Drosophila melanogaster: one gene and its partners. The protein of the gene in region 1 interacts with the protein of each later gene in a pairwise test. Each region holds a gene or a part of one and is shown on either strand. Other genes may lie near its edges.

What was found.
Region 2: the proteins of nkd (region 1) and Hsf interact in a two-hybrid assay, tested with the Drosophila melanogaster proteins (one study listed by BioGRID).
Region 3: the proteins of nkd (region 1) and Kap-alpha3 interact in a two-hybrid assay, tested with the Drosophila melanogaster proteins (one study listed by BioGRID).
Region 4: the proteins of nkd (region 1) and dsh interact in binary tests that used the Drosophila melanogaster proteins (3 or more experiments, as listed by UniProt).

The regions. Positions count from the first base shown.
Region 1 is NT_037436.4:19,040,831-19,048,802, forward strand, and holds the start of nkd (naked cuticle), read right to left. Parts: upstream 4,620-7,972; 5' UTR 3,538-4,619; coding exon 3,474-3,537; intron 1-3,473. UniProt on the Drosophila melanogaster protein: Cell autonomous antagonist of the canonical Wnt signaling pathway. May activate a second Wnt signaling pathway that controls planar cell polarity. Required for neuroblast specification.
Region 2 is NT_033778.4:18,129,803-18,137,919, reverse strand, and holds Hsf (heat shock factor), read left to right. Parts: upstream 1-3,285; 5' UTR 3,286-3,513; intron 3,514-3,811; exon of another isoform or gene 3,812-3,824; 5' UTR 3,825-3,839; coding exon 3,840-4,049; intron 4,050-4,807; coding exon 4,808-4,916; intron 4,917-4,978; coding exon 4,979-6,126; intron 6,127-6,185; coding exon 6,186-6,638; intron 6,639-6,730; coding exon 6,731-6,784; intron 6,785-6,874; coding exon 6,875-6,950; intron 6,951-7,013; coding exon 7,014-7,165; 3' UTR 7,166-7,617; downstream 7,618-8,117. Other genes in the region: Pcl (polycomblike), read right to left, coding at 1-221, 277-449, 509-1,996; Dlip3 (dorsal interacting protein 3), read right to left, coding at 7,915-8,117. UniProt on the Drosophila melanogaster protein: DNA-binding protein that specifically binds heat shock promoter elements (HSE) and activates transcription. In higher eukaryotes, HSF is unable to bind to the HSE unless the cells are heat shocked.
Region 3 is NT_033777.3:9,572,706-9,581,463, forward strand, and holds Kap-alpha3 (karyopherin alpha3), read right to left. Parts: upstream 5,029-8,758; 5' UTR 4,943-5,028; exon of another isoform or gene 4,903-4,942; intron 4,769-4,902; exon of another isoform or gene 4,605-4,768; 5' UTR 4,563-4,604; coding exon 4,503-4,562; intron 4,444-4,502; coding exon 4,063-4,443; intron 4,003-4,062; coding exon 3,172-4,002; intron 3,108-3,171; coding exon 2,931-3,107; intron 2,865-2,930; coding exon 2,769-2,864; 3' UTR 1,779-2,768; downstream 1-1,778. Other genes in the region: CG9399 (uncharacterized protein), read right to left, coding at 1-49, 544-584, 649-814; Son RNA binding protein, read left to right, coding at 5,475-7,391, 7,451-8,158.
Region 4 is NC_004354.4:11,352,811-11,360,685, reverse strand, and holds dsh (dishevelled), read right to left. Parts: upstream 4,806-7,875; 5' UTR 4,333-4,805; coding exon 2,461-4,332; 3' UTR 1,962-2,460; downstream 1-1,961. Other genes in the region: Pa1 (PTIP associated 1), read right to left, coding at 923-1,082, 1,149-1,357; CG1737 (uncharacterized protein), read right to left, coding at 6,151-7,875.

The DNA of each region.
Region 1 (7,972 bases):
AGTTATGGCCTGGTGGACGAAGGGCGACCTAAGTGCGGTATAATTCCAAGAAGTGGCCCGAGAGCCAATTGCTAAATCAACACAAACAAAAGCCGATGACCAAAACAAAAACCTCAAAAGTCATTACATATATCTTGAGTGGCCCCAACCCCCGGGAAGCCGAGGCCTGCAGAAATGCAGAAGCTACGAGCTAACAGCTTTTTATCTTTTGGCACAAGGCGGCACAGCATTGTTTTGGTTCGGTTCGGTTCGGTTCGGTTCGGTTGGGTTTGACTTGGCTTGGCAGCCACCTTCGAAAAACCAGTCCATTGCGGTGGACCAAAACCCAAAACAAGGCGAAATACCCATCGGATCTGGACGATCCGACCCGACCGATCCAAACGCAACCGAACCGGCCATATAGGGTCGCTGGCATATCGAAAGGCAGAGCGGCAACTTCCTGGCTAATATTACGAAAATTGCTTATACCAGGCTATTGCTCCCTGGCCATCCCCATACCCATACCCATACCCATAACCATGCCCCAACCCATAGCCATAGCCAGTTCCATTCCCCTCCGATTCTCGAGTTCTGCGGATCAGCCAAAAAGTGCCAAGTCAAAGTTGGTAGTGGCAGCTAGAGCTGGTGCCCGCTTCCCGGACCTCGGGGCTGCGATTTGAGCCCGGTGCGGTTCGAGCCACGTTGCTTTCAGCCTGTCATGAAGGCAATGCCGACGCGATTCGCCTGTTGCCTTCTACCGTAATTCACAACAACCACAGCCATAATAATAACAGCAACAGCACGGTATCGAAGAAAAGCCAAGGCGAGCGTTGTAAAACCCGCAGAAGAAACAGTGGTCACAAGTGCATTACCAAATATACAATTAAGTATGGTAAGCACAAATAAATGTTATATGCATGATCAAAAGACATAAATATAAGTATACTTAAATGAAAACCTTTTTAGTTACAATAAGTATAATAATTAAGGATGCCACATATGATCTACAAAATATGCGGATCCCACCTGTAAGTATGGCTTAAATGCATCTATACAACGTGTCTATTAAATCCTATTTAATCTGCTTAAAATCTTTCGAACATCAATAGCCTCTCAGGTTTGGGTTTCATATCATCCCCGCCCGTCAGTGCCCACGATAATCCCCATTCAAACACACGATTTTTAACCACTGTGCACGACGGCCTCTGGTGCCGCGCCTCAAAGCAAAAAGCGCATCTTTTGAACAGAGCGCAAAGCGCAGCTTGGCAGTCGCAGCATCGGCGCGGTGTGTATCTCAAAGATACAAGCAGAGTACGCTCGCTGGATCGCTGGATCGCCGTTCCTCGGCCCGTCCGTCTGTGCGTCCGTTTGTCTGAAAGTCGGTCCGTCCATCTGTCCGTCTGTCGATCGTCGGTTGGTCTCTAAACCGCTTTTGTGTAGCCGCTGCTGAGATGTTTGGCATAGTTGGCCTGGCCGCGGAACTGGTTGGATGTGGATGTGGATGTGGATGTATCTTCGAGATGGAGTTGGGGAGTTTCTCAGTTTTGGTCGGAGTTGGGGCTGCAGATGGATGGAGTGGCTCAGTTATTATTATTTTTGCTTGCGGCGGCGGCTCGACGACTTGCTGCCGCTGATGTCCGATGTTATTGTTGTTGTTTTATCAACGTGAGGGTTTTAAAAGGTTTTTGTGTATGAGTCGGCATCGGTATCTTGGCCTCGCAGCAGCTGCTGCTTTCTACACAGGAAATAATTATTTGGCCTTTTATAATTTTAACATTCAACAACAAATATATCGTGGCAAATCTAATTATTCATGTGATATTTTACTATCTGCGTAATCACTTTTAACATTTTGGATTTATGTTAATATAATATTTTACTAAATTTCACTATTCTTTTATAATTTTGCCCATTATTAATGTAATGTCTTAGGATTAAAGTGTCACAAAACAATGGAATTTTTTCCCAGTGCATCCATAAGCAACGGGCCAACTCCACCTCCATCGCGGCATCGACTTGCCTTCGGTTTTACCTGCAACAGGTAAGAAATGTTCGTACGTTGTTTTTAAACGGCGTCGGCATTTCAATTCGCTTGATTTTCATTTTTTGTACGACTCTCTTCCCGTTTGTTGTTGTGTAGTGTTTTCGAGGCTGCTTTCTTTGAAGTTGCATGCTTCGGTGTGCCTTTGGAGGTTTCCTTTGAATTCCCCCTGCATCTGCCAGCAATTAGTGTACGGGGCTTGTCGTCCTGCAAAGGGTTCAAAGTGTTGGCCTGGCATTTAATTGGCGCAGACCAATTGCCAGCCGATGCCGATGAGGAGGAAATCTCTCTCTGGGGCTTCAAAGCGAAACAAAACAAACCAATGAAAAAAAAGACTCCAGAAAAGTAAAGAGGTGGATGGGGGCCCCAGAATATTTCCAATGAATTTGTGGACAGAAAAAAGGAACCCAGGGAACATTGATTGATTGATGTTACTTCAGCGATTCGGACATCAACGTTGCTCGTTTGGCAGAAAGGTCGTCCGATTCGGTCGTCCATTTCCAATTCGGATCGGATCCCACTTTGGAAACACGGACCTTGTTTATTTACGTCCATGATATGCTACCCATGACTAAGGAGCCGATCTCTAAGCAGCAGCAGGAGCCAAAGCGAAACGTTCTATTGATCGCGATCGCGATCCCTATCCCTATCCCGATCCCTTCGCCTCTTCGATCTGCTTCCAAAAAAAATTCTATTTATTTTCCATGGGTCGCTTTCCTTTTGATCTGCCCTGCCGTTGTGTTTTTCTTCTTCAGCACCATGCCCGATTTTCCGTTCTATTTTTGTGTGTCGCTGCTCCGGCATTCTCCTACCCATTTTCATTTCCATTTCCAAAGACCACAAGCGAACGAACGGCTGTGTATCTTCCAGATAAAAATGCAGCCGGGCGATTGCCTACATTTTATTTTCAACTTTTAGTTGTTCGCCGTAATTATTGGAAAAGGATGTGGGAGAAGCCCTTGACTCAATGAATTCGAATACACACATACACACAAATACATACATATCTGTGTGCGGGTGAGTGAACAATTGTTTGGGAGAAGGTAATATTTTAGATCTTCGGCCCAGATAGTCGTATGTTAATGGGAATGGCCTTCGATAAGAGGCCACGGAAAAATGAATAAGGAAAACATTCTGCATGGGTTAGTGGTTTTAGTGTCAGGTAGGTGGATATAGGAATGGATCATTATTTCAATAGTAAATGCAATTATAAATCAATAATTATATATTCCTAAGCGACTTTCTTCATATTTATAAGATATCTTCCTGCGAATCCCTGACTCACTCAATATTTCAATTTAATTTACTTGACTGTGGCCAACAAATTGTTTCCCTGAATGCTATCGCCCAGCTGTCTCTCCCCACGAGAGCATTAACATCCATCTTTTCCATATCTGCTGCCAACTATCTGGAAATTCACTAAACAAGTTGAGAACGCTTGGCTTTCGCTTACCTGAGAATTGTTTGTAGCCGCCGAGAATTTTATGCTTCCACCATTTGACAATGTTACCCGCCATCGCTGCCCGGATATATGTACCTATATAGTTCTATATATAAGCGGGTTGAGGATGCAGTTACTTGGCGGTGTCTTGGATTTTTCGGTGTTTCTATTTTCCGTTTTTCGGGCGGCGGTGGTGGTGGTTGGGCTGGAAATTTACGAGTCCTGAGAGGAGGAGACCTGCAGTATAGCAGCAGCCCAAAATGTTTTACGGCCCTTGTGTGTGCGTTCTGCGCTCCCTGGCTGGCTATCCTTTTGTGTAAGGATCTAAGGACTGAGACTAATATACTCCAGGTAGGAGGCGAGAGAATCCTCCGCTTCCACTTCCACAGCCACTTCCCGTTCCACCGTGTTTATGCGCTGCCGCTGGGCGACCTTAATTTGTATCTGGTATTATTTTCGACTGTGCGGGTGGCAAGTTACCAGTCGTAGTCGCTGTCGTAAAAGTTTTTACAGCTCTGATGTGCTGCATTTTAGTTTAATTTGCGCATATTGCGCTGCTTTATTTGATCTACGTGTGTGTATCTTGCAGATACTCGTACTCGCGCTCGCACTCGTGTATATTGGTACCTTTGTGCCCGCTGCGCGCGTAATTTTAATTGTAAAACATTTTCGCCGACTCGATTTGTTTTTCGCCAGCCGTTTTGTTGTTATTTATTCAATTTTTTCTTTTTGCTTTGCGACGACGTAAATAACTTGGCGTATAAACAACAAAAAACAACAAATGCAAAAACACGATTTATTTCCAAACGATTGCGACGAGGGCGACGGCGACGTCAATTTTTCGGGGGGTGGCGTACCGGTTGTTTTTGTTATTGTTGTGGGGGCGGTTTTTCGTTTTTCGTTTTTCCTTTTTGCTTTTCACACTTGATTTTTCTCTCCGGCTAGAAAATTAAAACTTCACTGGGCGTATCTCGCGGATACATTTATTCATTTGATCAATTTCCAATTTCAACGATAACTTCACTGGGCCACAACAATCCGTTCGGTCAGTAGTTGTTTTGGTGGGCCAAACTACGCGTATCTTCTAGATCCTTTCCGCTGTATCTCCGAGTCTCAGTTCACACGTCTTTTCGAATCAACGGACGAAAACAATCTGAATGCGAGTCGTTCGAGAATCGAAACATTGCCCGTTGTTCGAAACTCATCTTCGAGCGCCGCTCTTTCTCTTTCGAACACGTTCTCTCAATTTCGAACTCGAAATTTGTAAAGGCGTGTTATCTCTTTTTCTATTCGAAAAGGGTATGATGGAACTCTGGTTCATGACAAGCAACATATATGAAATGATATAAACAAATATTTTTCTTTCTTCTTTATCTTCTAAAAAACGATTCAAATTTTACCAGTAAAAAATTAATAAAATTTATTTATTTTTATTTACATTTTTTTTTAACCACTGCAAATACCATATGTTTTGTTTCAAATTTATACATTCACATTTATGGAGTATTTTCCTTTTAATAGCTACTAAGCTAAACTATACTAAAAATTCGAGTGATATATTTTCAGTGATTTTTCCATTTATAACAGAACGTTCTTAAATATTGCATACAAAGAAGCAATTATTAGAGCAACATATTTGATTGCAGCGAATGCCACGCCTCAAATTTAGAGCTTTCTTTTGGCTTACACCTTTCAAGCTGAATTTTGACTGGTAGTTACTGCCTCCACCATCGGTTTTTGATTATACACGTGTTTGGATAATACCCGGTTTTAATTTGCCTCTATGCATAGCCGCAGCAGAAAAAAATTTGATTGTTTTTAAATTTGATCTCAACCGCTGCCCCTGCCCCAATTTTCGCCACGCAGAAGAAGCCGCCTGCTGAGCTTGAACATCAGGGCAATTACCAACCAACCAACCACCAACCAAAAAGTAACCCCAAACCCAAGCTCAAACCCGCCGATAATAACAGAGCAAGGAGAATCCTGAATTACGCCGCAGAGGCAAAAAAAAAAATATGAAGAAACACAAAGCTCTTTCTTTCTCCGGCGATCGAAAGCAAGTGGAAGGAACCCGCGGTGATCGGCTTGCCTTTAACCCACTGAGGCCCAATGTGGCAACCTGAAAAATATTAGTGTATTTATGGAGGTAAAATATAATATTTTTGCATACTTCACATTTACTTAAATACGTTAAATAATATAGTAATAACTAATATCGTGTTAAATTTCTAGAGAGCTAGTAACTGAAACATCAACTGTGTACCTAGTCGATTATAAGATATTATGAAATTTCAAGAAGAGATTAAACTAACAAAACCTCCTTATATCTTGATGTTCCATTAGGCATTATATGTTCCTAATTATATTTGAACGTTTAGGAGGACCAATATTCTTATGTAGAACTTCTAAATATGTACCGCTCTCAAGGGGTTAACTTTGCCCTCGGGGTCCGCAGGCTTTCGCACCGTAAAACGTTTTCGGCTTTCGGTATAATGGCGCTGTAATTGAAGAAGAACACGCGATCGAACGGAGGGTGAGGGGATCGAGAAGGGGCTCCGCAAAGGCGGCGGAGGGAACCTCCTTCTAACAGAATGGTTTCGGTCTGGGTCTTGTCTCTCTCTTTGTCGGACCCTCCTTTGTGGTGCCTTCGTCATACATTGATCCATCGTCTTAATTTCAGGAGGAGACGCGCCGCGCGTCTCCTGCGCTCCCTACATTTCGGATGCGGGCCCCTGATTGATGTCGGGAATCTGTCCGCCCTGTAGCCGATGATATTGATTTATGTTTACTCCGGTTTCGCATCCGAACCCCAACCCCAGCACTTTGTTCTGCCGAATTTCGCACAACATTTTGCCGCTTTGTATTTGACAAAAGTCGGCGGACAGGACAGACGGGCTGCAAATGTAATTACCCAAAAACGAGTGGAACATGTCTGGCGGCCCAGCAATCCGGTGGGCGCGGTTCCTGTTCATATGTGACTGACCCACCCGACCGACCATATAAAGGGTTCCCTGACATTTGTCCCTACGATGACGATGACGATGACGATGACGGAGTGACGGCCATGGCAACTGTCGCTGTAATTGACAAGGAGGCAGTATTCGATTCGCTCTGCGTCACTCCCCAGTGCCCCCGCCTTTTTGCCCAGTTTTCCCCCGCTTTCCACAGGCAAATCCCTATCTTCACACACATGGGCAATGCTGATGAGTTTTTGAAGGGTTAGGCGAGTTTAATCGGGTCCTATGTGGCGTGTGTGTTTGCATTAGGGAGTTGATTAGGTTACGGGGGTCATTTTGGCTACAGGAGATAAACATAATTGCCTTGTCTCGAACGTATTTCCGCAAAATATGATGCAGTTCCAGGGCACACATTAATGGGGCAATTTGATGAAGTATATTTATTTAATTCAATTGTAATTTAAATATTTTCGAAGCGAAAAGGATCAATCTTTTAAATAAATCGAATAAATAAATCGAACCAATAATCATTAAAGATTAACAATTTAAGCACCTATTAATTATCCCCACTGCTTTTGTTTAACTTCTAGGAACAAAGCAAATATCTCATTGCTAAGAATGGTTTTCAGCAATTGATGATTATTTTTTTTTTCACATGCCAACAACAAGACGCTCTAAATTTTCCAAATATTTTCAGTAAATAATGGGCAGCACATAAATTAGATAAGCAGATATATTTTTCAACTTGCGTCACAATCGAAGCTGCGCTGGATCTCATTAAAAAATATATATTTTCACGATCGGCTCGACGAAAAGAATCCAAATTTATTTTTTTAGTTTTTTGGAAGTCGTAAACGAATGAAATTGAAATAAATATCATATGCATGGGGTCGTGTACATTGTGAAACTATTCAATAAATTAACTTTGTTGTAAGTGCTGGCCATAAATATTTATATTTTATAGTATTTGTACGCTTGTCGTAAAATTCAAATGAAGTTGTCCCCCAATGATGGTCGACGAGTGGGCCGCGTTTATAAACATATTTCCAAAGCAATTATGAATTGTAGTTTTTGGCATTCGTCGGCTGACTGACAGGAAATTATATTGTGTTATAGGCCATAAAACTGGCAGGTCCGGAGAACCAAATGAGCCCCCAATGAGAGATCTTCAGTCCCATTGGTAGGTAGCATGTGCAACAGGCCTTTTGCTTTTGAAGTCCCCACCCCACCTCTCTGCGCTCAAATGACTTTTTACCCAGAAGTCGTTAAAAAACGACGAAAATTTCCAATTAATTTTGATAAACGCGGCCCGCAATGAAAAATATAAGATGCATATTGGTTTGGGGCTGGGGGAAAGTTTGTTTGCTGCCCCAAAGCGGAAATTGTAACTGTGCATTGATTGGGATGGGGGCCGGGATGGGGAAGAGGTGGGGCTGGGTAGTGCAACCAATTGTTGCTTATTAGGCCGAAAACATTAAAAATCTATCAAAACAACAACAACAGCGATGAGACAACAAATTGTTGTCTACGGAATGAAGCCATTTCAATCAGCCG
Region 2 (8,117 bases), on another chromosome or scaffold:
GTGCCGTTTCGGGCAGTGTGCGCCACTTCTCGCAGATAGGCAGCTGGTGGCGCTGCTCGAGTATGAAGGGCCAAATGTCATTTAGCAGGTGATGGTACTTCTGGTGCTGATGCTTTCGCAGATTGTATAGTGCAATGTGGAGCACATCCACCCATTCGATTTGCATACGACGAACGAATTCTATGCCATTGTTGCAGACCGTGCAGCAGAAAACAAAGAACCTAGACAATGAGATTCATTTCAGTTTAGATCACAGTAAAGCAATTGAATACGTACATATCGCCGCGCAGCAGCTTCTTCTTGAAGTTCTGCATGCATTGGGTGTGGAACCAGTTCCGACATTTGCAGCACTGCAGCATATTGTGATCGAATTTTCCCGGTTTGCCGCAGTAGCAGTAGATCTGCTCTTCGTTGACCCGATGCTTCTCATCCCAGCTGAGCTTATCCGCCTGTGGGTAAAACCGGATTAAGAATCTAATCCGCTGGCTTGGGTTCGTAGAATACTCACATGGTAGGGCAACTGGCGACAAATTCCCGCTGGTTTTGTGATCTTATGGCTGACAGGCTGTTGCATTTTCATGGGTTTAGCGCAGCGTTTGCAACTCCAAATTCCACTGCCAGTAACAATTTCAACGGTGCAACCACGATGGTAGCCACGTCCGCAGCGCTCGCAAATTTCGACCACATCTTCGATATCCGATCGCTTGCAGGCCACGCACATGGGTCCACTGGGGGAGGTATTCGTGGATTCCGTGGTAGAGGCACCGCCTCCGCCAGCGGTAATCGAGCTACCGCCACCTAGCTTGCGCAGCTTATCCGGTTCACACCATTGCTCCGACTGGTCATCAAAGCGGATAAGATATTGATCGCTTGTCTGGTCAATAATGGTGCCCAGGTAAAATCTGCCATCGTTGCATTTGATGAAGACGTCCTCCTGAAGCGCATACGTGACCGCTGGCGAGGGAGCGGCAACTGGTGGTGCCGGCGGCGGTGGTGGTGGTGATGGAGGTGTTGGCGGCGTTGGCGGTGCTGCTTCGACGGTCTTGAAGCTTGGCTTCATTGAGTTGACGCCTTTGAGCAGCGATTGCGTGGCTAGTAGCGGAGGCGAGGGCGAACTTTTACCGGGTGAACTCATGGCCTCCGGCGTAGTTGGCGGTGTCTGTGGCGTTGTGGTCGTAGAATCCGGCTCATCCACAATCACAACTGCTGCTGAGGTGGTCGCGGTACCACTATAACTGCTGCTGGATACAGAACTGCTGCTGCAGCTGCTGCTATCCGCCGTGCTGCTGTCGATGAGGGGCAGGATGGCCTTGTGCTGGATGGCCGGTATGATGGGCGAAGGTTGTTGGGCCGTGGTAAGCGATGAACTTAGCGAAGTGGGCGTCTCCGTATAGTGGTTATTGATGCAAATGTTTATGCGGTCTAACACGACGGTGGAGGGCGGTGAGGTGGAATTGGTCACAGGCACCAGCGGCGGCGGCTGCAGTTGCTTGCCAGTTCCGCTGGCCGCCAGTAGATTGATTTGTCCCGCAGTTTGGCCACCGCCACTGGGCAAGTAGTACGACTGAACGGGAGCATATGTGGAGTGCGCTTCCTGTGGCGGCTTATTCAGACTGTATACACTTGGCGCCGTCGAGATGATTCGTATGTTGTTGGCCTTGAATGGGCTGCAGCTTGTTGCCGCCTGTTGCTTCGGTGGCGTTGATTGCTGAGCGAAACTGTTCGTGATCTGGATGGTGCTGGGATGTGTGGGATGCGTGGTCTGCGGCCCAGTGGTGGCATAGTATCGCTTGGCCACCGTGGCAGGTCCTACGCTGGGCGGCAGGATCTGGTAGGTGGTCGTCATCCACTGCGGCTGCTGGCCAGCTGGCTGTGCTAAGTAGCCGTAGGTGGCCGGAGGAGCTGATGGGACAGCGGTACTCGGCTGTTGCATGAACGGATGTGCCACGTTCTGCGGTGGATGATCGTGTTGCAAGTGAAAATGGTTGTTCATCATTGCGGCTGTGTGTGCGTGCTAGATGCGTTGATTTTTCCAGTGCGCAGTCTTTTGTGAAAAATATGGATCTTCAGTTCGATTTGCCGGCTTTTCGCGGCCCGTTTTTTCATTGATTTTGCGATTGTTTCCCGCTGATTAACACGAGCTCATTAATCTGGCGCCTTTTTCGTCGAATTTGTTGTTGCCCGCCGACACATACATGCACACTTTTGCTACACATACGGACTGGAGAGCGGGCCCTTTTGTATTCTCTGTGTCTTCCTCATTCGTACTTTTCCACACGCACCACAGGCACTTCTAGTTTCGGTTGCCGATTTACCCACCTTTAAGTGTGTTTCGAATCGTGCATTAAATTAGCATTTTGCTCTTATTGATTCGGCTATCGGCTTTGAACGTCGTTGTCCCAAGTTCATCTTTAACACCAGCGAAAATGCACAAAACAAATCACTTGAAAATTAATTTGTGTCAGCCATTTTTCAACATATGCCCACCAGTGTGACCGCATCCAACAATTGTTCTTTTCGTTACATTTTCATATATAAATCTACCACAACTTATGTATGTTATGGTAATAAAATTAACTTGATTAAAATAAATAAAGAAATATTGGAAATTTGTCACCACAATTTTACATTTTTATATTTTTAAATATATCGAAACGTATAAAATATACCATAAATTTACTTAATTATCCCCACTGTGCCGGCAAAGACTCAGCGGTCTCGTCCTGGAAAATACTAGAAAATACATTTAAATATTTCCTAAAGATTCAAAAACGTTAATATCATACATAATTTACATTTTAAATGTAGAGTGACAATTATTAAATCAAATTAAAAAAAATAAAACTAACATTTATATTAAGGTAAAACTTTTTGATTGTCAAAGTAAATCCTATAGAAATTTCAAAATGAATGTTAATTTTTTTAGTAAGTATGCCCTTTGTATGCTTTTATGTACAACTTATCTAAAATCAAACCAACTAATTTTAATTTTAACTCATAATTATCTTAAAGATATCAAATAGAAAATACCAAATACTAAAATCCCTATCCTTTGGTCTGCCGTATTAAAATCGACAGTTGCCTATCAATTAATGTTATGGGTACACATATCAATACTAGCTTTAAAAACAAATAACAGAATTTGATAAGTTTTTAGTATAATGATCATCTAGTAATTGGGGTCAATTATATGAATACGAAGTTGCGCGCCAGAAAATACTAGATAAAAACCAGAGGACCAAGCAGACAGCTAGCAATGGTATATATAGCAGCGAACTTTAGTTCGATAGGTTTTTACCAAATTGGTCACGCTGCGAACAGAAGCAATTTTACTTGACGGAGGTTTCATTAAATTTTCACTTGTGAATAAAACGCGAAAAAGCACTTAAAAACCGAAGAACTGTGTAAAACAAAAGCGGTACGCCAAGAAAGTGAAGTGTAATAACTAAACTAAACAAGTAAAACGCGAGTTTTTCACTTCGCGAAAGGTTTGTGAGCTGCAAAATTGTTAAGGTAAGTAGGTTGAGCAGGAGAAGAAGAACTGGAGCTCCATTTGTGCAAGTTGGTGGCTCGAATGACGCACTTGGCTGCAACCGAAAACATTCGATTCGATCAGAGCTGCAACTTTCACATCAAAATTGTACCCATATGTACATTTTACATATGTATGGTGTACCTGGACACGCACACTGATTCCCGCACCCATACACACACTTAAACACACACACATACAGCGGCGTGGAAAAGTGAACTGTAAACTGGAAAAAAAGCGTTTGTGTTGGTGTTGGTGTGCAGTGAATTCATTGAGTAGTACTCCTTTCCAGGCTGCTGGTCACTTTATGTCCAGGTCGCGTTCATCCGCTAAAGCCGTGCAGTTCAAGCACGAATCGGAGGAAGAGGAAGAAGACGAGGAGGAGCAGCTGCCTTCCAGGAGAATGCACTCTTACGGAGACGCCGCGGCCATCGGAAGCGGGGTGCCGGCCTTTTTGGCCAAATTGTGGCGCCTGGTGGACGATGCCGATACCAATCGCTTGATTTGCTGGACCAAGGTAAGCCTACGCCGCCATATTGTTTATTTACCTTTCCAGGGACTCCCCTCCCACCACATACCGCTAATCAGCATGGCAACAACAATGACTTGGCCATGCAGGTGTCTCAAGCTCTCTTTGTAGCGTTTCGCTCTCTGTTTTGTTGTTGCCCATGCCGCATCGCACGTATGCAAGTTGCCTTCCCCACACACTCATCTTGTTGTTGTTGTCGATGTTGCCATTTGCATGCGTACGTGCGTGAACTCTGGAAAATTTTCCATCTCCAACTGACAATCGAATAATTTCCCTTGGTCATTCAGTTGGCTTTTCATTTAAGATAAGAGTAATTGGTTCTCACTTAGGTTACCACACACTCTTAACGAAGAGTTTATTGATAAGCATAGCCTACCATTTTTTGTCGACAACATATACTCATTAATATGTGAGTATGAGCGTAACATAATCTAATTTTCAAATCCAATATTTTTAGCGTGTTTCACGCATAAAAATCTCACAAAAATTTGAATTTTAAATGAAAAAGTTGACAAATTTTATAAAATACGAATTTTTTTAAAACGATCATTTTATACATTATATAAGAACACTAGTTCCAGCTTTGGCTCGTAACTATAGTTTTGCATCTATAGATATAATTACAATTAGCTAATTATTTTCGTTGCTTATCGGTTTTGGTTTGCGGCCAACCGCTAATAGGTTTGTGGCAACTACATATCAGCACAACTCTCATATCGCTTCCGTTTTTCGTTTTATTTTTGCAGGATGGCCAAAGTTTCGTTATACAAAATCAAGCGCAATTCGCCAAGGAACTATTGCCACTAAACTACAAGCACAACAACATGGCCAGCTTCATAAGGCAATTGAATATGTGTAAGTAAATGAAACATCGTTGAAACATCAACTGAAAACTAAAAAAAATTTGTGCTTTGCAGATGGATTCCACAAGATCACCTCTATTGACAATGGCGGACTACGTTTTGATCGCGACGAGATTGAATTTTCGCACCCATTTTTTAAGCGCAACTCGCCTTTTCTACTTGACCAAATCAAAAGGAAAATATCGAACAACAAAAATGGTGACGACAAAGGTGTCCTGAAGCCGGAGGCCATGTCGAAGATTCTCACCGATGTGAAAGTCATGCGGGGTCGTCAGGACAATCTGGATTCGCGCTTCTCCGCCATGAAACAGGAGAACGAAGTGCTGTGGCGCGAGATAGCCAGCCTGCGCCAAAAGCACGCTAAGCAGCAACAAATAGTCAACAAACTGATCCAGTTCCTCATTACCATTGTGCAACCGTCGCGCAACATGTCTGGCGTGAAACGCCACGTGCAGCTGATGATCAACAATACGCCGGAAATTGATCGTGCACGGACCACCAGTGAGACCGAGAGCGAGAGTGGCGGCGGACCGGTTATCCACGAGCTTAGGGAGGAGCTTCTTGATGAGGTGATGAATCCATCACCGGCTGGCTACACCGCAGCCTCACATTATGACCAAGAGAGCGTCTCTCCGCCTGCCGTTGAGCGTCCGCGATCTAACATGAGCATTAGCTCGCACAACGTCGATTATTCGAATCAGAGTGTGGAGGACTTGCTGCTCCAGGGAAATGGAACCGCTGGCGGTAATATTCTAGTAGGCGGAGCCGCTTCTCCCATGGCCCAAAGTGTGAGTCAATCGCCGGCCCAACATGATGTCTACACAGTCACCGAGGCGCCCGATTCTCATGTCCAGGAGGTGCCAAACAGTCCGCCTTATTACGAGGAGCAGAATGTGCTTACCACGCCCATGGTGCGGGAGCAGGAGCAGCAGAAGCGTCAGCAGCTTAAGGAGAACAACAAGCTACGACGACAGGCAGGAGATGTTATACTTGATGCTGGAGATATTCTCGTAGATAGTTCGTCGCCCAAGGCGCAACGGACAAGCATCCAGCATAGTACGCAACCTGATGTGATGGTCCAGCCAATGATTATAAAGTCTGAGCCGGAGAACAGTTCCGGACTGATGGATCTAATGACTCCCGCGAACGATCTGTACAGTGTTAACTTCATCAGTGAGGATATGCCGACGGATATTTTTGAAGTAAGATACATTTTAAACATCTTATGGTAGTTGCTAACTCTTTTCTCTTAACTCTTTAGGACGCTCTGCTTCCCGACGGCGTGGAAGAGGCAGCCAAACTGGACCAGCAACAAAAATTTGGGCAATCGACAGTGAGCAGCGGCAAGTTTGCCAGCAACTTCGATGTGCCCACCAACAGTACGCTGCTGGATGCCAATCAGGCCTCGACATCGAAGGCAGCGGCCAAGGCGCAAGCATCTGAGGAAGAGGGCATGGCTGTGGCCAAATACAGTGGCGCTGAGAACGGAAACAACCGCGATACCAACAACAGTCAACTCCTCAGGATGGCCTCAGTGTTAGTAGACCAGAAGAATACGAATTCAAGTCGGATAAGCCATAATCAAGCGGCTAATTCTTACTGTTGCAGTGACGAACTCCACGGGCACTTGGAAAGCATGCAAGATGAGTTGGAAACACTGAAGGATCTGCTGCGTGGCGATGGGGTGGCCATTGATCAGAACATGCTCATGGGTGTAAGTATCAACATTGAGTAGAATTTCTTGTATTAGCTGTCCGTTTGTCCGACTCGATGATTATTTAACTTATGTTCTATTTACATGATTAGGCGCTTAGCAGGACGCCCAATTTTCAGTTGCCGGAGGACGAGCTGCTTTTAAAGGTCAGCACAAAACGTCCACATCTGGCCTTCATGTCTGAAAATTCCCCTGCAGAACTAACTAACAATGTGATTTATTTGTATACTTTATAGCTGTTTAACGACTCTGATCTAATGGACAACTATGGCCTATCGTTTCCCAATGACAGCATAAGCAGTGAAAAGAAAGGTTTGTTCGGAATTCAGTATTAATTCCTTCGCTTGAGACTAAACTATTTGATGATTCAAGCAGCACCCAGTGGCTCTGAACTGATTTCCTATCAGCCCATGTATGATCTGTCCGACATTTTGGACACGGACGATGGCAACAATGACCAGGAGGCCAGCAGGCGCCAGATGCAGACGCAAAGTTCGGTTTTAAATACGCCACGTCACGAGTTGTAACTTATATTAAGTAGCAGCAGCTCAGCCGTTAAATTGGCGAACAAATCGTTTTTAGTGTTAAATGCAAATCTTGACACGTTAATTTTCATCACCTACTCTGTCTAACCATTTAGTTGATTCATACGATAATCACATTAATAACCACTATAATCATATGAATGATCTGTATATGCCTTATGCACTATATATATGATATATAGACTAACCAGTTCTTGTTGTAGAAAGACTCGAAGAATCAGTAAAGATTTAGATTTATTTTGTATCGCGGGATTTTGCGGGCCCCAGCTCAGCAGGTAGAAGATTTTTAGTTTGCACTAACCGATCGAGAGTACAGTGAAAGCTGATCGCATCGTATACGATTTAAGATCGCACGCTTCAGTTTATACATTTTACACACTACTCTTATCATTATTTCAAAATAAATTGTTTAATGTCGCGTTGAGCTGCAAATGAAATCAAATGTGTACTTTTTCTTTGGAACAATGAAACTTCGTTTGCTGCTAACCTTGTTTTGTGCATAATTTTATTCGACTCAATGTTGATACAACTAAAGAGATATGGACTATGGACACATATCGCCTCAAATTAACCTAGAACCTTAGCCTAGGACTCGAAACGTAGAGTTACAAGTTGTTTGCAAGTATGTAAATACATAAATGAAGGGGGAGTGTGGGAAGTGTTCGAGTGCGTTGTCTACCACTAAGGATACTAATCGAGAATTGTACGTATAGAATGATGACTATGACGCCTTAGCTTTCGTCCTTGTACTTGGCGTCCTTCAGAATGTTGGCGAACTCGAACTTGACCCGCTCCCGTTCCGATCTCCGCATGCTGCGCAGTGTGTCCACCAGCGATAGGCAGTAGAGCTCGATGGGATCGTTGAAGGACGACGTCACTTGGGTCTGAAGCGGCGCTTGGGTTGCCTTGCGCTTGAAGGGATTGGTCAGAAAAT
Region 3 (8,758 bases), on another chromosome or scaffold:
TGGTGTCGGCCGGTCGGGCCAAGTCACTCAGGCCGGCGGCAACGAGACCCTGGCAAAGGAGATAAAGGATTCGATTGCTTATTTAATTTTTGTTTTAACTAAAGGACGCGATATGCTTAGGCATCTTCAGTTTCTATGTTTTAGTGCCGCTATGGGAGATCTCAACTGGCTGTTCTTTGTTTTATTTATTTGTGGCTTGATATATGTATGTACATAAGTATGAGGCATCTATATGCCTACTATCGAAACAAACAAACTAACTAAATAAATCAAAAGTTTTTGATTTTTTTGGGAAACTTTTTTTCATAGGGTTCCACAACAGAAGGCAATCCGCTCACGAACACAACCGTATGCGGTTGTTATCAAGCGCAGGTTGCTCGAAATAATCAAATAATTTCATTTAATGGCACCTGCGCTCAGATTTGTCTACCGTCGTTTCGGATTTATGGTGAACTATAGTATGTGTGCGATAATGAAAATCAGCGAAGGTCGTGCGTTGTCCGAGTTATGTAATCCCATCCGTCTGGCTTTCTGTCTACTTACCCATTTGAAGACGGGTGCCCAAAAGAATATCGTCTTGGGACCTGGAATCAAACCGAACCTAAAGATGTGCTCTTTATGTAGCATAGTGGTCTATGTGAGGCTTACCAGCTGGATGCATCCACAGTGGCCGCAGCTTGGCGGGCACAAATTTGTCGGCGGCGCCAATCATCCCGTTGTACAGCTTGGAGTGGATGCCCTTTCCGGCGGAAGGGACGGCCGATGGTGGCGGCGGGGGAACGGGCGGCGGTGGCTGAACGGCTGTGGACGACATTTTGTTGTTGTTGCTATTTGTGCGAAAAAATTCCACGGGTTGCAGTGATGATAATTTATGCGTCCAAACTCGTTGGCTGGCAATCACAAAATAAAATCTACTATGAAACGCTAAACAACAAAAGCCAAAAAGCTTCGTGAGAGAGCGAAAAAGACAAAGAGAGCAAAAGAGAGAGCTAGCACCCACACAGCCGCAAACTCGAACAGCTGAGCGCGCTATTTTCTAACGTGTTTAATTTGACACGTTAAGGAAATACCTATACAATTGTACCTACAACTCGTACTTGACTTTCTAAAAAGTGCAAAAATCATGCATTCATCTTTAGGAACAGGTTTTTGCACGATCACAGGTTCATTAGCTATCGCACAACATCCTTGACCTTGAGGAGAGTGTGCCAATTTCCGCAATTTCCGCAGCAAAATGTTGACGGAAGCAAATGTGTCTGAATCGAATGCATCGCTACCAATACAAGTGCAGCATCTCTATAAATAGCAGGCAAATGCAAGTTTTTTAGGAGTCACGCGACAACAGTGATGCGCCATTTTTCACTAATACAAAAAAATTAATATCTAAATCTTATATTTATTAAATCTCACAGGAAATGACGTATTAAAACACATACAATTACACAATTATAAAAATAATTTTAGCACCGCAACAGCTGGGGTACTACAGCTAGACAATCTGCCATCTCAAATTCTAGTGTTGGTAAACGTTGTCCCGCCTGCATATATAAGTCAAAGTATACTATTTTCGAAAAATTAGGTAAATTTCAGTAAAAGATTTGTACTGCACGAGCTGGAACCACTTTCATAAAGTTAACTTTCATCACAGAATTCGGAATGTCCTATAAATAATTATAGAAGCCCATGTAGATGATGGGTAAGTTACACGTAAATATTCTGAGTAGTTCCAAAAACAACCGCCAGGCGAAACTTTCTTTATATGAAAGAACGAATATGTAAAAGTAAAATGAAGAGCTATTTATTCCCACACTCCTCAAGATTTAAAAGTAAAACATACATCACATCACTCAACTAAATCTAACTGATTTAAAGTATCCTATACTGTATACAGAACACTAGCGAAACTGATGCTTTGCAGATAAGTCATTAATACAATTTGATCCCTCAATTGAGGGAAACGCCCAGTCCCTTCTGTTGCAATCCGAATTCGATTTTCGATCTGATTGTTTACAAATATTTACTCGATCTGTTGCCATGTGAAAGCCGATTTTTCAGCTGCCCTGCCAGGTAGACGGGCAATTGCGCATTAATGGGAAACGTGCTCAAGTGACGCACTAGCTGAAATAAACGCTAATTATTAACAGCTCGGCCGACGGACAACTCGAATGCCTGGTCTTGAAACGCGACACACTTGTTCTTATAAAATTCCGCTTAACTTATCTGCCTGGAAACAAAATGATGAGTTGCCTTTTGCTTTTATCGTTTTCATGTTAGAAATGTATACATATGTAATTTCAATTACAAATCAGAAGCGTAAATATTTAAATAATTTCATATAAATCAAATAGGTCTACATTCTTTTTGAAATCTGTTTCTCATTCCTGTGTTTATATTTTGGATGATCTATAGCAGAGTCGCTTCAATCGGAGAAGTCCTTGCATTGCACATTCACACACCCAAGAGTGTGTGTATGTCTGAATTTTGTAATTTTGTTAACACAGAATTGAGAGAAGCTAAAACGGCTGCAGCGGATTATCCGTTGTGTATCCTCCAGAGTTCCTATTCTCGTCCCTAAAACGAACCCGGCTGTCTAATTGCTGCTGTGTGGTGGACAAAATATAATGCTATTATTATGTGAATTGGTTGACGGCTCGTCGGGCTTGTTCATACACAAGCGATTGTGTACGAATAAACGCCAAATTATGTGGTGTTGCACGTGTTTGGTTTTCACTTCACTGCTACTGCGCGGCTGCTTTCTGATTAAATCGTTAAAAGTTAAATGAGTTCATCGTTAGCCTATCGGCGTGTGGATCGAAATTGTATTGTGCGCCGTCGGAGGTCGGTGCCATGTTAGTCTGTTCGCCCTGTAAAGGATGCATCAAAAACGTTTTAGAATAATAACAAACGGTTGACTTAAACTGTTAGCTCACCTCATCAGTGAAGTATTGATCGATGATCTCATAAGCTAGTTTGTAGATTTCAACGTTTTCGTGGCTCTGCAGACGCTCGATCTTGGCCAGGCCCTCGCATTCCTCAATGCAGTTGGCCACCGCCTCAACATGAGAATCGGCCACTTTTAACATATTGTTCAGACCATCCAAAACAACCTTTAAAAAAAAGGGGAATGTGTTACTCAAAACAAATATGTGAAGAGACGCAAATTATACTTACATTTATAACTTGCGTATCCTGGCATGAAAGGAGGTCACAGAATGGCGGAATGACGCCCTCCTTGATCAAGGTGAAGACCTGTTCGCGGTTGCCGCTAATGGTCAGATTGCTGATGGCCCAGGCAGCCTCCTTCTGTGTCTGGAACTCGCCCTTGCTTAGGTTCTCGATAATTTTGGGCAGGAGACCCACGTTAATAACGGCCTGCACCTGCGATTGATTTCCAGCGGTTATATTGGAAAGGAACCAAACCGCCTCCTTTCGGATCTTCTCCTTGGGATGCGAGAGCAGGCCCGGGAAGTAGGAGAGCGCGTCGTAGTTGAGCACAACCTGTGTCTGCTCATCCGATCCAGTCACAATATTGCCAACAGCCCGCAGTGCGGCTGTCTGTACCTTGACCTCGCTGTTGCCCAGCAGTGGTATCAGCTTGGGTACAACTCCACTTTCAATGACCATCTGGATCTGATCGTTGCCACCGTCAGTCAAATAGCTGATGGCCCAGACCGTGTCCACCAGGATGTTCGTGTCGGTGTGATGAATGAGCACATTGAGTGCGGGCAGGATCTCATGAATGGTGGCTGTCGGGGGAGCCGGATCCTTGTTGCGGCACAAATTCACAATAACCCATGTTACATTGCGCAAGAATGTGATGGGGATGTCTGGCTTGATGAACGACAAAAGTGGCTGCACGACTCCGTGCTTAATGACAAAATCGCGGAGCAAAGGACCATCGCCTATGATGTTGCCCAGGGCCCACACGGCTTGTTCGCAAACATTGGGAGCGGGCGAGTTGAGAAGTTGAAGGAAGAGCGGCACGGCACCGGCGGCAACAACCTATACAGGATTATATTGCATTAAAACAAAGAAAGTGCTGAGAGGGAAAGCTGAACGTACCTCGTTGGTCTGAGCCGATGTGCCAGAGGCAATGTTGGTCAGGGCCCAGGCGGCCTCGAACTGGAGCATTGTGTGATTGTGTTGTTTGAGGCACTCCACCAGGATGGGCAGAATGTCGCTTTGGATCAGATCGTTGATGGGTGGATTCTTGTCCGACGACAGCAGCTTGCGGGCAGCCTGAACAGCGGCCAGTTGCTGTTCCGGCTTGGTGGCGTCTGCGGCTGCCTTTGCCAGCTTCTTCAGGTCAATGGACGAGGACAACTGCTCCTCCTCATCTGTGTTCGAGTCCAAATTGGGCACATTGCGACGCTTGAGAATGGTCTCTTCGCGCTTGTTCTTCCTCAGCTCAACGGTGACTTCATTTCTCCGACGTCGCATTTCCTGCAAATTAATTAATATTATAATGTTTCCCATTTCAGCGGTAACTTCTAACTACTCACATCCTGGTCTTTCCCTTTGTTTTTGAAGTTTTGTAAACGATTTTGCTCCATAGACGTCATTTTGTCTGATTTCCTTGTATAAGGGTTTGCTTTTTCGATTGGCTGTTAAAAAGTGAGTTTTTAAAAACTATTGAATGCGATGTTGGCGACGTACGCCTCCTAGCGTATTCGATGAACAATTAATAATTTGTTTCAATTGCACACCAGCCAATGGGAAAAATTATTCGCACCCACACCAGCGCACATCCACGAAAAAATAACGTAGAATCGACCAACACAGTTGCAGCATAACACGATGGCGCAGGCATTGAAAAAAGGAAATGGCGAAAAAATACATGAAAATTAGCAATGCAACGGGCGAAAAAAGTGTTTCTCTTGGTCCTCGGTAGAGGATACTTACGTTTTTAGCAAGTAAATCGGGTTTCTCCCACGACACATACACTTTCTACGTCTTTTAAAAGTGATAAAATTCTTTCCTTTTTATTAAAATTGCAATCAGTGACAACGACGTGAGTGAAGTTGGCTGCGGTTGGCAATTCGGGACTGCCCACTTATAGGCAGGGTCGATTGAAGCACCAATCGTCAGATCTGAATTTATGTCGACTTATTTTTTAAATTTAGAAATTTTAAGTTTACTCAGTTGGAGTTGTAAGCTTATGAACCAGTTGAACATTATTTAGGAAATATTTCATTTGTCTTAAAAAGCATTATAGCAATTCTTATTATTTAGGTTTTTTCAAGCAGGCGCTTGTCGTGACGGTACTATTACACAACTCTAGCAAAGTATCGATATCTTTGAGCCCTGCGAACTGTAGATACCATTACGAGTGTCATCGCTATTATTGAAACTTCTGTCCAAGCAAGACGTGCAGAAAAACGCTTAATCGCGAACAGCGACAAATTCGCTGATCTGTTGCGGTAATCTATTAGCATGCATAGACACTAGGACGATCCGCGCCCAGCGAGAGAGCAATGACGGAGAACACAGAGAAAGGGGCGAGCGTAGAAACGCCTCAAGTGGCGGGGTCTCAGACAAATCCTCCGGTTCAGGAGCCACTTGCACTGACCAAGATTCCGCCAATTAAGGTAAAGAGCGAACGACCGGACGCAGAGGTGGAGGCCAAACTCCGGGCCATGAATGCCAAGATCAAGGCGGAGATGGTGACTTTGATGCGGAGGAGCAACAGCAATGAACTGGGCAACAATGACGAGTCGGGGGAGAGCGAGAGCTCCGCGTCGGCGGACGACAAGAAGAACATTAAGCCTGTAAAGTCCTCGAACGAGATCCTTGCCGAGCTGTTCGGCGTATTCAATGCCGCTCCACCAGAGGAACTTCTAGACGACAATCTGTTCAAGAAAAAGAAAAAGGTGAAAAAGGAGAAGAAGGATAAGAAGGCCAAGAAAAAGAAGACGACCAAGTCAGATGGCGAATGCAGCGACTCGGAGGCGGAAGGCAAGCACAAGCATAAACGTAAGAAGCACAAACATAAAGACATCAGAGTCAAAGACAAGGAGAAGGATCGGGACCGGGACAAATCTAAGGAGAAAGATCGGGACCGCGTTACGGACAAATCAAAGGAGAAGGATCGGGACAGGGACAGGGATAGGGACAAATCCAAAGATAAGTTTACGGCAGCACAAGCTCCCTCCGAGAAGGAGAAAGAAAAGTCTGAGAGCCGGAAGCGCAGCGCTGTGGAGCCTTCCAGTCATTCCGAAAAGCGCGAACGACATGAAAGGGAGAAGCATCGCGACTGGGAACGAGAAAGGGAACGGGAAAAGGAGCATGAAAGGGAACGCGTCCGCTCCAACAATAGCTTTTACAACGGGCAACGTGAAGCGGATCGCTTGAAAGGATCTGAATCAGCGAGCACAAAGTCACGGCAGGAACAAGATCTCTCCGATATCTCGCTCTCCGATGAGGAGTCGTACCTCCGGGAGAAGGCTTCCAACGGCCGTAGACGGGCGCACAACAGCTTTTATGATGAAAAGGAGGAATTGTCGGTTTCACCCAAGCGTAACGTGCGCGAATCCAACACCAGGAGAAACCGAAAGTCAAGATCTCGCTCGCGTGACCTCGGCATAGACAAAAAGCGCTTGCTCGAGATTGCGCGACGAAATGCCATTAACATGTTCAAACAGGGAACTATGCCCGGTGTGGCTAACATGACTGCAGAGGTCAAGGACAAGGTTCTCGTCAAGATGCGCTACGGAGGTCGCACTATTCAAGATCTTACCGACTTCTGCAAAAAAATCTCCAACGGCGACGGCCTGTCAGATCTGAGTTCAGAAGAGGAGTCCGATGTGGACAAGAATGGTAATGCGAAGGTCTTCCATCATCCCTTTCAGCTGAAGGAGCGCGAGCCAATTGTGATGCATATACGAAACTCAACGGCGCTGGTTCCAGCACCACCTCGACTGGACGAGCAAACAAAGGCCATAACCATGCAGTTCCCGGTGTCGTCGGGTCAGACCCATCGCAACAATGAGGTGTGGGTGCCGGTGGATCCTAAGGACTCGCTAGTGCCGTTGCCCTCCCTACCGCCAGCAAAACAGGCCACCAATATGTTTAAGGAAACGCCGAAGAACGTGTTCGCGAAGTCGATACCCTTGCAGGAGCAGCAGGAACCCGCCTTTAAGCCACTGGGAGGAGCAGTCGTAGTCCCGCCCTTAGCCGCCACTCAATTACCCACTGTTCCTCAATCCGTCCCGCCAACCGTTCCCAAAGAGTTTGCCCCTCCGGCTGTTCCCTTCGTTCCCGAGGTGCCCATCCCGTCAACGTCACCCGTAACACCGATGCAAAGTGCTTCCATTTTTCCCGATGTTACGCCGCCTTCCATGGACGTGTCCAGCATAATCACCCAGCGTCTTAGTGCCATTCGACGCCTGCAGGTGAGCTCTAGAACCATTTGTCATTTTAACGGTTGGCTTCATAATTTTGTTTATCTTAGGAGAATCCGGCCGACTCTGAGGCCCTAAAAATGATGTACACTGCGCAACGCAACATGTCATCGTGGGCCAACTCAAAGCATCTGCCCGGTCAGTTCACGGGAAGCACGGGTGCCCAAGTGATGAAGGCACATGAGCTGAACAGCGGTCCGCAGCTGTGGGTGCGCAAAGACCAAATGACCTCCACCAAACCGGTGACTGGGGGCATGGGCATGGCGCTCCTGCAAAAGATGGGCTGGAAACCGGGCGAGGGACTGGGCAGATGTAAAACTGGATCATTGCAACCACTTTTGCTGGACGTCAAATTGGACAAGCGTGGCCTGGTGTCGCGCGATGACTTAAGGCCACCGCAAATGCGTGCGCCGGCTGCCCAGCGAAGAAATAAAAACATGGCGGGACCAATTGGAGCTGGCCCCTGTCCAGCAGTTCAGGGTGCGGGACCTGGACCGTTGGCGTCCACGCCGCTGGTCACCCAGGATAAGCATCCCGTGTGTGTGCTCAACGAACTGACCTCGAAGAACAAGTGGATGCCGCCGCAGTATAAGCTACGTCAGGATATCGGGCCCGCTCACAACCGTTCCTTTCTCTTTTCGGTCGAGATTAACGGACAGACCTTTACGCCGGATCGAGGAAGCAACAACAAGAAGGAGGCGAAACTCAATGCGGCCGCCTTATGTCTGCGATCTTTAGGCATTCTTCCGCCCAGCTAGTGATCGAACGTTGAATAGGCTAATTTCTAGATAGTGAATATAATAGAATCCCCACACTGTACATAAAATTAGCCCTATATTTAAGTTGTAAAATCTTGTTCGTCTCCTTTGGAGCGATGACAAATATAGTGCTAACATCAAAAATGATTGTTAGTTTGACTAAAATTACTGATATTTGATGTACCCCTAACGTTATCATTTCTATTATTTATACACTACTTACTTTAATGCTGTCCTTAATATCAGTTATAAATTACCTGTTTACTTCTAGTTCCTTTTAGAAATGCAAGTTTCGTATTTGAAGTGTATTTCCTTCCCTTATTAAATTGAATATTTTAATTTAATTTTTGACACACACATTTTTCCAAGTGTAATGCCCGTTATTTGGGAGAGGAGCTTTAACGCGCGAGCTTTGCTCACTCGCCAAACGGGGCTTTTGCGCAAGTACACAAACAAAGTCAGCTGTTCCATCCGAGTGGGTTAAACAAGAGTGGGCCGTGTGGACAGAGACTGGCAGTGGTTGTGGTGGTGGGAGTGGAAGTGGAAGTGGGAGCATCGGCGCTGCAAGTTCCAAAAGATTGCTCCTCGACGAAGGTCAGT
Region 4 (7,875 bases), on another chromosome or scaffold:
TTAGTTGTATGTACGGAAGTTGACTGATCTACAGTTGCCTTACTAAATAGTTATCTTACTCATCTTGGATTTAAATGTACATCCGTTCTATCCTACATTCTATATTCTAGTTTTAACAGCTATTAGTGAAATTCAGTTCTTTTATGTACAGAAGTTGACTGATCTACAGTTGCCTATCTTGTTATCTGCTTTACTCGCATTGGATTTAAATTTACATCCGTTCTATCCTATATTCTATATTCTAGTCTTCAAACGTCGGTTTCGGACAATACTATCAAGAATATTGTCATAATATATCAAATAAAGACAATTAACATTTAGAACGTAAATTTCCCACGTGCTAATTAAGGATCACATACACATCCCTCTGCTTAAACATAAGTTGATTAGTTCTATGCTATCTTCTCAATTACAAGTTCTTAGTCTAAAATGAAGAACTGACCAATGCAATGGGAGTTAACATCCTTAACAGCTAGTTATGCATATATGGTAATTGAAGTTCAAACTTCTCTGAGTTGCAACTTGTTGGTTCACAAAGTTTTTTAGAATTCCAAAGACTGCTGCAATTTAAGCTACAAGCTAGTCACATGAATATGGTAATTAAGTCATAATATGCCTATGTTTTGATGTTTAAACTTCCTCTCTAGATGCTGACTAATAAGTCATAATAAGCTTATGTTTTGATGTTCAAACTTCAAACTCTCTAAATGCTAACTATAAGTATGGTAATTTAAATCTTAAGTAAATTGAAGTTCAAACTCTCTCTAAATCCTTACATTAATGCGATTTGCAGCAGAGCTCCACAGCCCATCCTGTCGATGGTTGTAAAACGACTGATGCTTATAGACTAGTCCGCATGGCGATAGAGTACGATCTGCAGCCGATTGCCTGGACCGGATCAGCATCAGAATTTCGGCGGGTGCTATGAGCTCTCGGCATTCTTCTTCTTCAGCGTCTCCATGACGCCGGCGAAGTTGGCCGTCTTCTTTTTGGCCGACTTGGGCGTGGACGTCTGGCTGCGGACGCGCATCTGGGTGGGGGCCACATCGTCGCTGAAATCAAAGTCGTTGGCCTTCTGCGGTCTGCGGGGACACGAAAATCAATCATAAGTTATGTTAACCTTCGGATGGTGCTGCACTTGTTCTTACTCCTGCTCAATGGCGTCGGTGGCCTGTTCGAGTTCCTTGCTATTGCCGCCAGATCCCGCCTCCGGCGATGGAGCCCTGCGTCCCGGAAATTGCCATTGCAGTTCCGGAATATTTCCCGCCTCCAGCATCAGATAGTAGCCCTCTAGCTCCTCCGCGTTGGCGGAGAACTTGTCCGCCGTATTCGCCGCCGGCTCCACATCCGTTGCCATCGTTTTCTCGGATTTAAACAATCCAAATGAACTGGAAATTTGCGTTTCTTTCCACAATAGAACCTATTGGTTTCGCGACCTTTCTGGAATGAAAGCGATAGTTTGCTTTGGCGTGCTTATCGAACAGTTATCGAACGTTCGTTGCTATCGATTTTCGGGCTTAGTGTTGCAAAGTGTCCGAGCTGGGCGGTTGATTTGAACACATTTGCTGCTCGAAATGGATTTTCTATTTATAGGTTTCATTATTCTCTTCTTTATTAAGTGCACACCCATGCCCGGAATGTTTCCGCTCCGAGTGCACACAACTTCGAGGATTGTTCTCGATGGCGCATTGTTTGGTTTAGGGGGAAGAACAATATTATCTTGTTGAGACTTTTACTTTTTAGGATGGAAAGTATGTGTTTAAATATTGTTAATCTGTACAAAGAAATAAGAACTAACAAAAATTAGACTTCCTTTTTAATGTATATTCCTCAAATTACGAACAAACGCTAATATGTTTTAGGAATATTTTAAAAGTCTTCTTGGCAATTTGATTTGCACTTGAAAACAGCTAAAATGCGTTAAAGAAACCAATCTCATGCATATGGAAAAGCCATCGATTATTCATTTTATTTGTATTTATTTACTTTGTGATTACTAAATTCTTAGAACTTTATTCAAAATCATTCTCGCCCGTCATGCTGCCGTTCCTGCTCCTCCGCTCCGCTCCGCATCATCCATATATATATATATATATATATATATATATATATCATATATCATATATCTCAGTTGATCTGATCTGATCGGGTCCACAACCGATTGCTGCCGGACACGGATATCCCTGTGCTGATCCTCCTGCTGCCTCACGAGCCCTCGCTGATCCTTGACTCGTTGCGGCTGGGTGTTTAGCGTTCTTTTCTATGACTTACACATACCATACATATACATAAGTATTATTATTATTATTATAATTATTATTATTATTATTATTATAATTATAATTATTATATTGTGGTTTGCTGTTTGCTTGCTTTGTATACTCGTATATAAAAAAGAATAATCGTACATATTTAATTTAATTAATTAAAAACACAATTTGATTGCAAAAAGAAAGGTTTCTACAATACGTAATTAAATACGGATACGTCCTGATCGTTGGTATTGTTGCCGCCACCGCCACCGCCTCCGCCGCCGCCCCGATTGGAGGAGCCGGATGATTTGTTAGAGCCATGAGCGGCGATGGTCAGCTGGTTGGCCTGATGGATCACCGAGGTGATGTCGCTCTGCGACGCCGAGATATCCTTGCTGGTCAGCACATCGCTGCTACTCGATCCCGACGAGATGTGTCGCTCGGCGATGCCGTACTGGATCGGCTGATAGCCGTGACTTGGATTGTACGTGGCCGAATATGGCATATAAATGGGCGGGTTCGGTAGCGGCCCGATGTCGCTGGTGATGCTCTCGGTGTCCGCATGGCTAAGCGCATGGCCGCCATGCCCGTGCGGCAGCTGGTGCGGATGCAGATGTCCTCGGCCCAACAGATTGGGATTGCGCTCCTCGTTCACCACGTAGTAGCACTGCTCCGAGAAGGTCAACTTATTGACCGTATGCTTGATGTAATTGCTGCGCAGCATCGCCGAGACGATCCTTCGCGCCTCCCGCCTATCCTGAACATCCTCCACATTCTCCAGCACCCAATTGACCGCATCGGCGCCGATAAATGCATTGGGAATCGTTATCTTTAGCCACATGCGATCCCTGATCTCCAGGCCGCTGTCCGGCTTCGTCATCGCCTTAACGATCTCCTCGAGGTTATTCTGGTCCAGACGCTCCTTAATCGGCTCCGCAATGTCGGCAATAATACTGTCGTGCGATGTGAGGGCCTGAGTGTGCGCCACCCAAGCACCGGGATCGATGGGTCGCACCGGCTCCGTGCGCGGAATGGTGAAGTAGCCCTTGGGATTTGGGTCCCAGCACTTGGCCACCACCAGCTTGATGGGTCCCGGCTTCTGAACGACTTCTCTCAGCACACGTACCGCCTCGTCGTTGGTCATGTTCTCGAAGTTGACATCGTTCACTTGGAGGATCATGTCGCCCGGTTCGATGCGTCCATCGAGTGCCACTGCGCCGCCTTTCATGATGCTGCCCACGTAGATGCCGCCGTCGCCGCCGCGATTCGATTGCCCGACAATGGATATGCCCAGAAAGTTGACCGCCTCCATGTTGATGGAGACGGTAATGATATTTAGGGACATGGTCGAGTCGGTTATGGAGCTGTACGAGGAGGTGCGCGACATGCTGGGCGCCCGTTTTTTGCGCCTCTGCGGCTTCTTGCGCACCTGCAATCGCTGAACGCTGCTATAGTCGGTCATGTCGCGGTCCAGCGTCAATTCGGATTCGGTGCCAAAGAGACTGGTCGAGTCCAGATCGCTGGAGAGCACGGATGCCGATTGATATGTGAGCGGTGGCGGCTGCAGCAGCGGATTGCCCATCATCTTCTGGTGATGGAGCACCTGCTGCTGTTGCTGCTGCGCCAGCTGGACAGGCTGCACCTGCTGCTGCTGTTGTTGTTGCTGTTGCTGGTGCTGCTGCTGCTGTTGTTGTTGCTGCTGCTGATGCTGCTGCTGTTGCTGCTGTAGCTTCCTGTTGGTCAGACCCATGCCCAATTCACACTCACTGGTTGGCAGCTCGGAGCAGTTATCTGACTGATTGGTACCATCGGCGGAGACCAGCCAGGACACCACTCGCCCATTGAAGCAGGGCAGTATGGTGGAGTCGTCGGCTATTTCCTCTTTGACCACACCGAAATCGGCGTCCATTGACTTGAAGAAGTACTTGTAGTTGTTGTTCTGCTTGTTCAGCACCAGCTTGAAATCGCGCAGCGTCACCTGGGCGGATGGAATGGGGATCTTCACCAGATACGGCGTCGTCTCATCGTCGATGTGGTATATCACCTTCGTCTCCTGCCCGCCGCCCCTGTCCGCGTCCATTTTAGCTGCGCCGACTGCGGAAATCCACGGGAAAACTCCTCGACGCGATAAAACGCGATCAAAACGAAATGCGATGGATGCGGTGGGGAGGTGGCGTGGGAAGTTGGTGGGGAAAAATCACAGGGAAAACGGGATTAAGCCAGGGAAAAGCCGATACAACAAACAAAATTCACTCGATTTTGCTTTTCTCCCCCTGGTCGCTCTAGCCCTCTCGCTCTCGCACGCGTTTCTTTTACTTTTTCTTTCTCTTTTTTTTGGGCTGGGTATTTCGATTCAATGGAAGCGGCGGCTGTTAATTCGTCGATTTGCACGGCGTTGATATTGCTCCATTAGCACGATTTGGTGCGCTTTAATGTCGGTGCACGCAGCGGGGGCAGGGCGAAACGAGCATATTGCTAGTTTATCAATAAATTTGTTAGAATTTTGAGACTAAAAAAAAACAGTGTGTTAGCCGCTCGTCACGCACGGAATGCCAAAGCGCCGGGCAGTTGGTCACACTGCCGGCGATGCCAGACCCTTTCGAATTCGAACATTCTTAACATTTTCTCAAACGAATATTCTGAAAAAGCGTATGGAAAACTACTAAAAACTGCAATGTATTTAGTTTCTATTGGAAATGCTCTCTCTAACGATATTTGCTTTACAATTTGAATGTAGTTCAAACACTTTTAAAATTAAATACCAAAGTTATCGATAAATATCGTTTAATTTGAATACTTATTCAAAACAATAAATTTATTATAATTTAACAAAATAGCAATTTCTATTACATAAAACATGTAGAATCTAAAACTACAGCTATATTGAACTCTTAATTGTATTAATTTACCATATAATGATGTAGCATAGTTGAAGAGTGTCCTGTTTAAAAGTAGAGTCTTTATCCTTGTCATGGAAACTTGACCAAGGAAACTCATCCATCCATCCACTTGAAGCCTGCGTTCCTTATCTTCTTTCGCTTTTCACACGAAAATCTCTAGCGTTGGCCGCAGTTTATTTATAGCTGCCCGATTTCCAGATAACCCCGCCCGCCATTTATCACGCAATGGCGCTCGTTATTTAAATCAGTTTTCTCTTTTATTTGTATGCTTTGAATTGGGATCACTTAGATATACACTCGACTAACTTACTGGCTAGTCCTCCACGCGGGCGTAGGCACATGTACGCCCGGTTTTATATTATTGAATCGACTACGATAATAGCAATTTAAAAAAAAAGGATTTCGAAGGGGGCGGGACTCGCGGGGAAGGCGGAGGGGGGCTATGTATTCCAACGCATTTAAAATAAAAATCATTATTGATATACCTCGACCGCCCGGAACTTCGCAATCCCTTCGAGAGTTGGGCGAGCATTTTACAATTAATTGTTTTCTTTAGTTTAGTTTATATTACATAGATACATCTGCCGTTTGTATTTATGTATGTCCGTCCGCTGTTTATAATATACGAGATATATATATATAAAAATTTATATAAATATATATATATATATATTCATATATATAAATATATAATTATATATACGTGTATATATATTAATATATATTTATATACATACATATATATATATACATATAAATATATATAAATTTACGCTACACTAGCTATTACAACTAAGTTAATGGTTTTACAAAAAAAAACTTGTATCTGTTTTATTACAACTACAGCATAAAACGAATTATCGAGTGTCCGCTTTGTTTGTTTGTGTATGTGTATGGGGGAGGGGGATGGGGATGGGGAGGGGAGTGCTGTGTGTGAATTATTTTTTACAATGTGATACGTGCTCTTCCTGTGGCCACCATGGACCAGGCCTCCACGCTCACTTAGCGTTGACCAGCTCGACAATGTTGCTGCTGATCGAGAGGCGATCGACGATATCCAGCAGGATCTCCACATCCTTGATGGTGGCAACCGTCTCGGGGGCACCCAACAGATTCACATGCTTGCCATCGATGTTCGCATAGAAGCATTTGTTCTTGAAGATGACGGCCCGATCGTAGGGCACGCGGCACGTGTTCTTGTCAACGACAACGCGCCGGAAGAGCACGCACGACGGCTGATACTTGTGACGGTCCTCCTCGGGTATGTTGTACGCCTTGAGATCGCCCGTAAAGATGGTCATTGTCTGGCGGGGCATCATCGACGGCGAGACCTTGTACAGCGTCACCTTGCTGGTCCATTTGCCCGATGGCACCTTTATCCGTGACGCCACATTGGCCAGCTTGACCAGCGCCAGCTCCAGGCAGGTGCGCTGCTGGCGCGCCATCTTCGACAACATATCCTTGGCCGTGCTAACCACATGCCACGTCTCATAGCAGGTGATCTTCTTTACCACACGACCATCCTCCTCGTGAAACGTTGTGGTCTCGGGCGGAAAATATTTGGGACTGTTGGCATCGTCGATGCCACCGCCGGTGGGCAATATTTCGCGCAGCGTTGTCAGCTCCTTGTCGCGCTGCTGCTCCTGCTGGTTCTCCTTGCTGCGACGCTGCGGAACCAGGCTCGGCTTCTTGAACACCGGCTGGACATCGTTATCGGCCAGCAGATTGCTCAGCCTCCGGTCCGCAATCAGCGCATTCACCGACGACGCTGTCGTGGACAGCACATTGCGCCGATTGTTGTTCAACTTGTTAACCGCTACCGCTGCTGGAGCGGACGTCATCGCCGCCGACGCCGCCACCGACGTCGTTGTCGTCACCTGCTTGGACTTGGCATTGGCATTGACATTGGCATTCTTACGGGTAACAATAGATACCGGTATATTATCGATATCAAAATCGAGATCTGGATCCGGATCGTCCTCTTCGGTGTCGACGTCCGTGGGACAGAGCTCCTTGCCCATGCTCATCAGCGGTTTCATCGACTGCGTCTTCTTGCCCATTTCCGCGTTGAGTATCCTGGGCCGGGGCTTCGGCAGTTGACTCTGGATATGCACTGGTCCCATTTTGGTATTGACACTACTGTTGCTGGCCAAGATCTTGATGCGCTTGGCTGGATTCCCCGCCGTCGTATTGTTGTGGTTAACAGCAGCGGACAGGGATTTCTGCGTGCTGTTAACAGTGATGGATTTCTTATCGCCGGCAACCGAATTGCCGGTTCCGATATTCTTGGTACGGGGCCTGCCCAAAGCGACCTTTTTGATTGAATTACCGCCAGCTGCGGAAGCGGCCATAGCAGTGTGTGATCTGGAAATGAGCACATCGTCCTGATTGATAATGTCATCGATGTTTACAATGGTGAATGTGGGCATATCCTCCGATTCGGAATCGTTTTTCCCATCATTGCTAGCGTCACCCTTGCCGCCGCCACCACCACCGCCAGTTGAGCGCGTTGCGGGCGTGGATCTAATCGAATTCGAATTGGAGTTCGACAATGAGTTTATCTTGTTACTGCTGCCGCGTCGCTGTGGCAGCATCCTGGCTGACGCACTGCCCGCCTGGCCCACCTTCGGTCGCGCCGTGATCGCTCTCTGCGCGCTCATCTTGCTGTTGGCACCATTCACCACAGGCGGTCCGCTGCGCTGCTGGGAGCCGCCCGAAATGAT